Linked DNA regions of Arabidopsis thaliana. The protein of the gene in region 1 interacts with the protein of each later gene in a pairwise test. Each region holds a gene or a part of one and is shown on either strand. Other genes may lie near its edges.

Region 1 (3,912 bases):
ATTGCAACTTTTGATTTTGTTTTATGAACCGTTGTAGCTTTTAGTTTATTTGATGAACTATTGCAACTTTCGGTATATTTAACATATACGATCGTATCTCTTGGTATAACTTTTCATAATATTGTTTAATTTTTAACCATTAAAACAAATATTGAGATACATTTTGCAACTGTTTCATTAAACTATTGCAATATTTAGTTTACCTGACGAACCATTGTAATTTTCGGTTTATTTTTTGAACTGTTGTAATATTTTTGATATAATAATAGTAATCCGAATAAATGTCTTTTGCAATTGTGTCTTTATAACATAATTTACATAATTTTGTTATTGCTTTCTTAATTTTATTCAGTAATATGCATTTATACGAATTGCAATTTTCTAAGAAAATATAACCGTAAAATATATGTTTTTAGTTTAAAACAGAAAAAATTATTTTAACGAAAAGTTGCAATAACAAAAAAAAACACAATTGTTTACAACTGCAATATTTATTAAGATTGTTATTATTATATAGATTTATATTCTTATCAAAAATAAAATAAAATATGTTAAATTCTAAAGTAAGAACGAGAAAATATTCATCATGTAAAGGGTGTACGTAAACTCGTAAAGATATATACCCTAGAAAACCTTATTCACACCATAATATGAGTAATAGTCAAATATGGTTCTCAATGAGAAACATTGAAAACAAAACAACATAATCATACAAATATAGAACGCAGAAGAGAGCTATTTTGGTTGCTCGTACGAATCAGAGCGTATACCAAACAAGCTAGTACAAAAATACACTTGCCCTTTCTGGTGCGTTCTGTTTTTTACGTTGGAGTAACCATTTAAAGCCTTTTAATACCTCGGACCTCGGACCAGCTTCCTCTCATAGGAATCACTCCGGAAACTACTAACCGAAGTAGACCGTTCGGGTTTGTTGGGGATTGTTGTCGATAGCCACTCAAGTCCTTCGTATAATCCTTGCCCAGAGATAGCTGAGGTTCCTTGTATAAGCCTGCACCAATCACAATCACAAAAATTGTTTTTGTTTATCCCTCTACCTCTAAATATATATATAACCAACACGAGAGGAAGTTTTTAGTATTATTACCAACAACGTTTGGATAGGCTGTGTAGACCAAGTTTGTTGGCAACCTCGGCTACAGGTAAAGCATTTCTCGAATCTTGCTTGTTCGCAAAGACAAGTACACATGCACCTTCTAGTTCATTCTGTGGATTTTTTTTACCAATAAAGAAAGTTGTTAGGGTTAAAAAAAAGAAAAGAGGAGACAATAAGTAACATTTTAAAGTTTCATATGAATTTTACATCGGTTAGTATGCGATGCAGCTCGTTTCGAGCTTCTGATAACCTTTCACTATCGCTGCTGTCCACTACAAAGATGAGCCCCTGCGCGTTCTGGAAATAGTGTCTCCACAATTTGCGAATCTGTTGAACCGGACAGGTCAAGCCTGGAGAGGCAAAGGAAGAGAAATATGTGTTTATATGCACTTATAGAGAAGTAAAATGGAGTTTACCTTCTCTTGTCCTCCTATATCCCATACAGTGAAATTGATGCCTTTGTATTCTACTGTCTCGAGGTTGAAACCTGGAAAATCGCAAAACAACCAAAAACCAAAAAAGGTTAATCATCAATATGAGATTTATCAAGCTATTAAGAATATTCTTCCTCACCAATGCAAACACAATCAAAGGTAAATAAAAATGTAACTATGATCTAGTATCTACACATGAGCTATGATCCACAATAAAGATACACAAAAGTATATATGGTTGGAGCAGTTCTAACTAGCCAAACAAAGTTTCCTTCATAATCCTCAATAAATAGATATATAGAGTGAATCAACATCTTGCTCTAACTTCAGAATCAATAGATAGAAGTCTCAACAGAACCAAAAAAACAAGAGAAGAAAAGTCCATGTCACATACCAATAGTAGGCACTGTTGTGACAACTTCTCCAAGCTTCAACTTGTAAAGGATGGTAGTCTTCCCTGAACCATCAAGACCAACCATCAAAATCCTTACTTTACTTTTAGGAAGAAACCTTTTCGCTATACGTGAAAATCTGGCTCCCATGTAGAACAAAAAACAAAAACAAGGATCTTAGATACAGTGAAAGAAACACAGCTTCTGATATTTCAATTCAAGCTTGGACTTATATGAGATCTATGAAGAGTATTTTACACACATGAGAGAAAAGAAAAAATAACTGAAAGTTTGATTTGCAGATTGTAAAGGCAAGCAAAAAGGCAAAGTCCCATTAGAAGAAAGGCTGGAAAAGAATAAATTCCCTAAGGAAGAGAGGTAATGTTGTGTCCTTTTCCAAACTCGAAAGCTCATTAGGACACAGAGCAGGACTGGTCAGATTCTGTGTTCTGTCTTTCTCATTCTAGAAGCATATATCAGAATCTTATTCCTTGAGTACATCACCAGCGATATGGAATATTATTAGAGGTGCATAGGAAAGACACGAAACTGGAATTGCATAAAGATGGTAAATGGAACAAAATATCAAACCGGATTTTTGATAAGCAATAATAAAACAGAGCATAAGTCTTATTAGAAACAATTAAGTAAGGGAAGATGATCAATTAAAAAAATATTAACTTCTTATTTTCATTAGAAATAAATCATTAGAATAAAAAAACCAATACATATGATTTCATTAGAAACTGATATGCAAAAAACTTGAGTATATAAATTTTTAATCTAAATTTTGTATGATAATTTTTAAAATTCAAAATTGAAATTTTAGTAAAACTTTAATGAAATAAGAAATTAATATTTTTAATTAATAATATAAATAACTATTAATTAAAAAAATAACTTCTTAAAAAAAATTACACTCTTAATTTAGTTTTGAAATTGAAAAACAAACTATTATAAGAATTAATGCATTCAATATATATACAAAATATATTTATATTGGATATAGATTTTATTATTATTATACAACACAATATATATTTTTTTAATATTAAAAGTAAATTGAAATATTATTTTTGAATATTTTTGTTGGTCAACGTCGGAATCAGTCCAGCGGTTAACCTGAGATTCTCCATTTATAATGTTGATCATATAACATCGTATACTTCGTATATATTGTCATTCAATCCATATACTTCAGTTAGCTGAATATCCTAGTATACTTGGCATTGATGGCCATGTGGTTTGCTAAACTTCAGGTAGTTGACAATTTTTTTTCAAATTAATATCAACAAATCATTCATTTAGTTAATTTATTTCATATCCAAAAAATGTTGAGATTTCTCTTTTTTTTTTTTTGTTAAAGAAAATGTTGAGATTTCTCCTATGAATATATACGGAAAGCTTAAGTTTATTCACATAATGTCAGAATTAACTGGAAATCGTTTTACTTGAAGTGACTAAAATTATTTGAGAGTTTTTAAGTTCAACTGTTTTACATTTATTTACTTGTTTTATCATCTTTACGATATATATTTATAAGAAAAAATCAGGTAGAGGTGTGCTAGTGTATATGAAAACCAGAAGTGGCTTAAGAAAAATAAAACCAATACATAAGATAAAACTTTCAAAGTAATTAACATCGGTTTGAAAAAAAAAAAAAAAAAAAAAGACGAGAGCAACAAACAAAATAAAGTTTCCTTTTATCCCACATTCAAAGCTTTATTTAGATGAAAGGAAGTCATAAGAAAAATGAAATATTAATTAAGAACACAAAGATCAAAGATTCTTAGATTGATTTCATATAAGAGAAAAGGAGAGTTGCTAGGAATCTAAACTTAAATGAATCTAAACTTGCTATTAAATCCTAAGATACATGGGTTTGTAGGCTTTGAGAGTATATTTAGTAACTTCAGGCTTATCATGCGACAATATCTGCGCTTCTTAGATATGCTCTAACAAAAGATACCAT
Region 2 (4,921 bases), on another chromosome or scaffold:
ATCTACATATATTATTGGTTTCTTTGTGATCAAATTACTTATGTAGTGTCTCTTATGCAGGATGCTTATCCTGTTGGTAGTGTCTTCCACTGTCTTGTACGTTTAACGATATGCACATGTGAGACAGAGTGGCTAAATCTACTTATGTGTGTACTCAGAGATTCCCCTAAATTACGAGAACTCAAACTTGTTAAGGTCTGCAGATCTAAACCTGAATTATTCAGTCTCTATGATATATCAGCATATATTTTCAGTAGAATAACAGTGTGATGATATCTTACTTTTATCTTAGAACCATGTCTATCGATCTCATCAACCGCGGCCGTGCTGGAATGAACCGAGTGCAGTTCCTGAATGTCTGTTGACAAGTCTTGAAACTCTCGAATGGGTAAAATATGAAGGAACAGAAGAAGAGAAAGAAGTAGCGGCATTCATCTTAAGAAGTGGAAGCTGTTTAAAGAAGGTGACTATCTCCTCTAAATCCACTGACATCAACAAGAAATTTGAGATGCTCAAGGAGTTGTCATTGTTGTTCAGGCGTTCACCTACATGTCAGATTGCATTCGACTGAAGTTTAGTTCAGTCTTCTTCATTAGTCAAGTTGGTCTGTGTTTGATCCAATCTTATAGACTTGTGTTTTCTCTTCTTAAAGAAACTAGTTTTCCCTAGAAACTTATGTTGCTCAAGTTTTTATTCTTTTGACGTTGTGTATTCTTATGTCTTATAACCCTTTTGAGTTTTTATCTTATTTAGCTCTGCTTCTCACTGCATATTCTTCGACAAGCGAAGAATGACGTTCTAAAATGGTCAATGAACTTAGAGACATTTTGGTCTTTTTGTTTAGTGTAATCCGTTATGAGCTTGGATTTAGGTAGATGGAAATATGAATTGACCACGTGTAATCATTTAGAGCAAAATGATATTGCAAATGGTCTAATGGACTCGGATACGCAAGAGGTCGTGGCAATGGCTAATCACATCTCCTTATATCTTTAATGTGTTAAATATGACATTGTGGCTTCTTATTATTATAACCCGTTTGCCTTTTCAGTTTCACACAAATGGCAACAAATCCTTATGGCTGCATATGTTTTCAATTTGGATCTCTTTAAACTCAAAACAAGTATTAAGGCAATCTCTATGATGTTTTGTAAGTACCTTGAAGAGGTCTTTTGTAAGTTGTAACCTTTTTTATGTAGGAGAAGAATCACATCTTCACCTTTTGAGTTTTTGACTTGTTCTTTCCAAAATTTGCACTTTTCAATTGTTGCAATGGCCAATATTAATGATGTGACCCAATCTATTTGTATAGCCGAAAGAACCCAAAATACAAATGGTTTTTTTTTTAAAAAAAGTTTTTTTGCTGAAAATATATTCTTTTTTTAGAAAATTTATGTTCATAATTAGTTATTGGAATCCTAAAGTGGCATGAAAAATGCTTAGAAACAAGTGGGCATTAGGAATCAGTATGAGATTCTTTAGAATTTGTGTTTGAAAACAATTTCTCTTTTCGACTCCTTCAATGTTAAGTCCTACATGACACGTAAGCTGTGAAAGCTACGAGCAGAGACGATTTTAGCCATCAACCAAACGACACCGTTTCTAAACAATATTTATTTTTGTATGTTTTTAGTGTAACAAAATTACAATTGAAAATTCCAAATTTCGAGAAAGAGAGAAGACCCATCGCCGCACCGCTTGAGTCACTCTTCTTCCCGGAGAAGAAAGAAACAACAACAAACATATTCACCATTACCTTCTTCTTCTCCTCCTTCTCCTTCGTTTCTCACTCCAAATTTGGAACCCTAAATCCTAATATCCTTCGATTAGTTCTCTTCTCTATCGGAATTCTTAACGTTGAGAGGAGTCTGATATTTGCCGTGACTCAAGAGATTCCAGGTGTTTCCGACGTATATATTTACATATGGCGTCGTTGGCTCTGACTTCTCCTCCCTCCGTTAAGATTCCTTCGTATCTCTCCTCGTCGTCTTCGTCTCTCTTCTCCCGTTCCTCGATTTCTTTCAGGACCACTGAGTCTCGCTCTCGAATCTGCGTTTCTGGTTACGCGGTGAGCATTGAGCATTTTTTTTCCTTCATGTTAATGAATGAATTCGATATTCACATTGCGTTTCATGTATTTGTTATAAGAAAATTCAAATTGTTTTTGGATGAATCTATGCTTTGATGATCTGTGAGATTTTTCTGGATTTAGTAGATGCTATTAGCAGTTCGTTTACAGGCTAATTTTGTGAGAATTTGTGTGTTGTCGTCGCTCTTGGCTTGACTTTGTCCATGTATGTGACTGTAGAATTTGGAATTTGGAACTTTCAGCTTTGGAATCTTGTGTGTTGAATACTGTTCATGAATGTTTGGTTATTCTTATGTTTGTAGAGAGATGTAAGAGAGATCGTGTGTTGGTTAAATTTTGTGTCTAACATTTTGAATTTGGTTTCACAATTCCTTGTCATTGTGTTTGATAGAAATGCAATTTGCCTAAGGCACTAAACGGGAACGCTCGTGTTCCAATTATTAATGAGACGACAATTCCTAAGTTCTTTGATTCTTCACGGTTGGAGAAATCGGTTAGTAGAAACAATACTAAGCTCAAGTTGTTCTCTGGTACTGCTAATCCAGCTTTATCTCAGGTAGTTTTCTCGAGACCTTTGGTTGTCTTTTTTAATCAAGTTTTCTTCTGGTGAAGTATATGCTAAACTCTTGGAATTTTGTGAAGGAAATTGCTTGGTATATGGGTCTGGAGCTTGGGAAGGTTAGCATAAAGAGATTTGCTGATGGAGAGATCTATGTTCAGCTCAAAGAAAGTGTTAGAGGTTGCGATGTCTTTTTGGTGCAGCCTACTTGCACTCCAACTAATGAGAATCTCATGGAGCTATTGATCATGGTGGATGCTTGCCGAAGAGCATCAGCTAAGAAAGTCACAGCTGTGATTCCGTATTTTGGATACGCAAGAGCTGATAGAAAGGTAGGTTCTTTTTGTCTTCTTCAATGGTAGATACAGTATGTCAAGTAATTTCATCTGATGTATCTATTGATGTTTTCAGACACAAGGGCGTGAATCTATTGCTGCCAAATTGGTAGCAAACCTTATAACAGAAGCCGGTGCAGATAGGGTTCTGGCTTGTGATCTTCATTCAGGACAATCCATGGGTTATTTTGACATACCAGTGGATCATGTCTATTGCCAGGTATCTTAAGTTTCAACCTTTTTGATAGACAAGCCTCTACTTTTTATGCAACCTTTAAAATCTTACACAATTGTGATTACATTTCAGCCTGTGATACTTGATTATCTTGCTAGCAAGTCAATTTCCTCTGAGGATTTGGTAGTGGTTTCTCCTGATGTTGGTGGAGTAGCCAGGGCACGTGCATTTGCTAAGAAATTATCTGATGCACCACTTGCCATTGTCGATAAAAGGCGTCACGGCCACAATGTCGCTGAGGTAAAAATTTAAATTTACCTTCATTTTATCCTTTCTACACGCAAGTTCTCATGTGTTGATAATACTCTTTCCCACAGGTCATGAACCTAATCGGTGATGTTAAAGGGAAGGTGGCAGTAATGGTGGATGATATTATTGATACAGCTGGTTAGTAAAAATTGCCAGAAACTCCTCTTTCCGTTGATATGTTTGTTATAAACAAAAGCTTCCAAACTCTAGGCCATAATCGAGATATTACTAAATAGAGATTATTCTGTGATTTGCAGGCCATACATTACTAAGAACCAGTTTTTTATCTTCTTATTTACAGGAACCATTGTGAAAGGAGCAGCTCTTTTACACGAGGAGGGTGCACGTGAGGTTTACGCTTGCTGTACACACGCTGTTTTCAGGTAAACCCATTAGCTTGAGTTTTACCAGTTCTTCTCCATTTTCGTTTATGAAACTAAGAGACCGTTTTCTTGAATGAATCAATGTCACAGTCCTCCTGCGATAGAGCGGTTATCAAGCGGTTTGCTGCAAGAAGTGATAGTGACGAATACTTTACCAGTAGCGGAGAAGAATTACTTCCCGCAGTTAACGATATTATCGGTGGCTAATCTTCTGGGTGAGACCATTTGGCGTGTCCATGATGATAGCTCCGTTAGTAGTATTTTCCTTTGATACTTGTTGGTTTTTGTTAATCGGTTTAGGATCGGTCTAAGTTCCTCTTTTTTGTTCTACTTCTTCTCGACAGTTTCTAGTCTAACCATGTCTTGCTTCTCTTACTCACCTAAAGTATGTCACAGTTCTATCTTTTCTTCTTTTTAGCATAATAGAGTTATGAGATATCAATGACAATAAAATTTTAATATTTTGGTTTATTGAAAATAATTACATTATGGTGTAAACATTATTTCTCAGGATTTATTGAGAATTTCTAAATTAACAATTTCCCCAACTTGCATATTTCTGGCAATAAATAGTTTTGGCATTTTATGAAATAAGTGACTAATTTTTATGGTTTAGTGTTCTTTCTTCGGTTAACCAATTTTTATTGCAAAAAAAAAGGAACAAATTAGGGTTTTATCAAGCCCGTCGTTGCATATAAATAGTCTTTTCATCGCCGCTTGAAACAGATAAGTGTTTCCTTCGTCTCTCTGTGGTCCGATATGTCTCCCTATAATCTCTGTTTCATAGTTTAATCATATTCTTTTGTGGTTTTGAATTCTTATGTTCGAAAATCTTGAGTAGTTGCTGTGATGTAACTACCGTGTGCCAGAGATGAAGTTATTCATCGTTGACGGCAAACATAACCTTAGAGTTCTAAGCTTTTCTTTTGTTCTATTTTTTGGTGTGTGGTCGAAGTGACGATAAAGAATTCACAGTCTGTCAATCCACTGACAACATTTGAGTGATGTTATTGTGATATCTCGACAGGTTCTGATCTACTCTTAATAAAAACCCTCCCAATGATTTTTTTT

The links. The genes of interacting proteins can lie anywhere in the genome.
Region 2: the proteins of ARFB1A (region 1) and PRS2 interact in a two-hybrid assay, tested with the Arabidopsis thaliana proteins (one large-scale study listed by BioGRID).

What each region holds. Positions count from the first base shown.
Region 1 is NC_003071.7:6,652,125-6,656,036, reverse strand, and holds ARFB1A (ADP-ribosylation factor B1A), read right to left. Parts: upstream 2,375-3,912; 5' UTR 2,091-2,374; coding exon 1,943-2,090; intron 1,602-1,942; coding exon 1,531-1,601; intron 1,442-1,530; coding exon 1,322-1,441; intron 1,225-1,321; coding exon 1,106-1,224; intron 1,010-1,105; coding exon 850-1,009; 3' UTR 536-849; downstream 1-535. UniProt on the Arabidopsis thaliana protein: GTP-binding protein involved in protein trafficking; may modulate vesicle budding and uncoating within the Golgi apparatus.
Region 2 is NC_003070.9:11,680,109-11,685,029, forward strand, and holds PRS2 (phosphoribosyl pyrophosphate (PRPP) synthase 2), read left to right. Parts: upstream 1-1,625; 5' UTR 1,626-1,924; coding exon 1,925-2,068; exon of another isoform or gene 2,069-2,480; coding exon 2,481-2,645; intron 2,646-2,731; coding exon 2,732-2,980; intron 2,981-3,059; coding exon 3,060-3,203; intron 3,204-3,290; coding exon 3,291-3,458; intron 3,459-3,535; coding exon 3,536-3,605; intron 3,606-3,768; coding exon 3,769-3,850; intron 3,851-3,940; coding exon 3,941-4,121; 3' UTR 4,122-4,412; downstream 4,413-4,921. Other genes in the region: AT1G32375 (F-box/RNI-like/FBD-like domains-containing protein), read left to right, coding at 61-195, 293-571.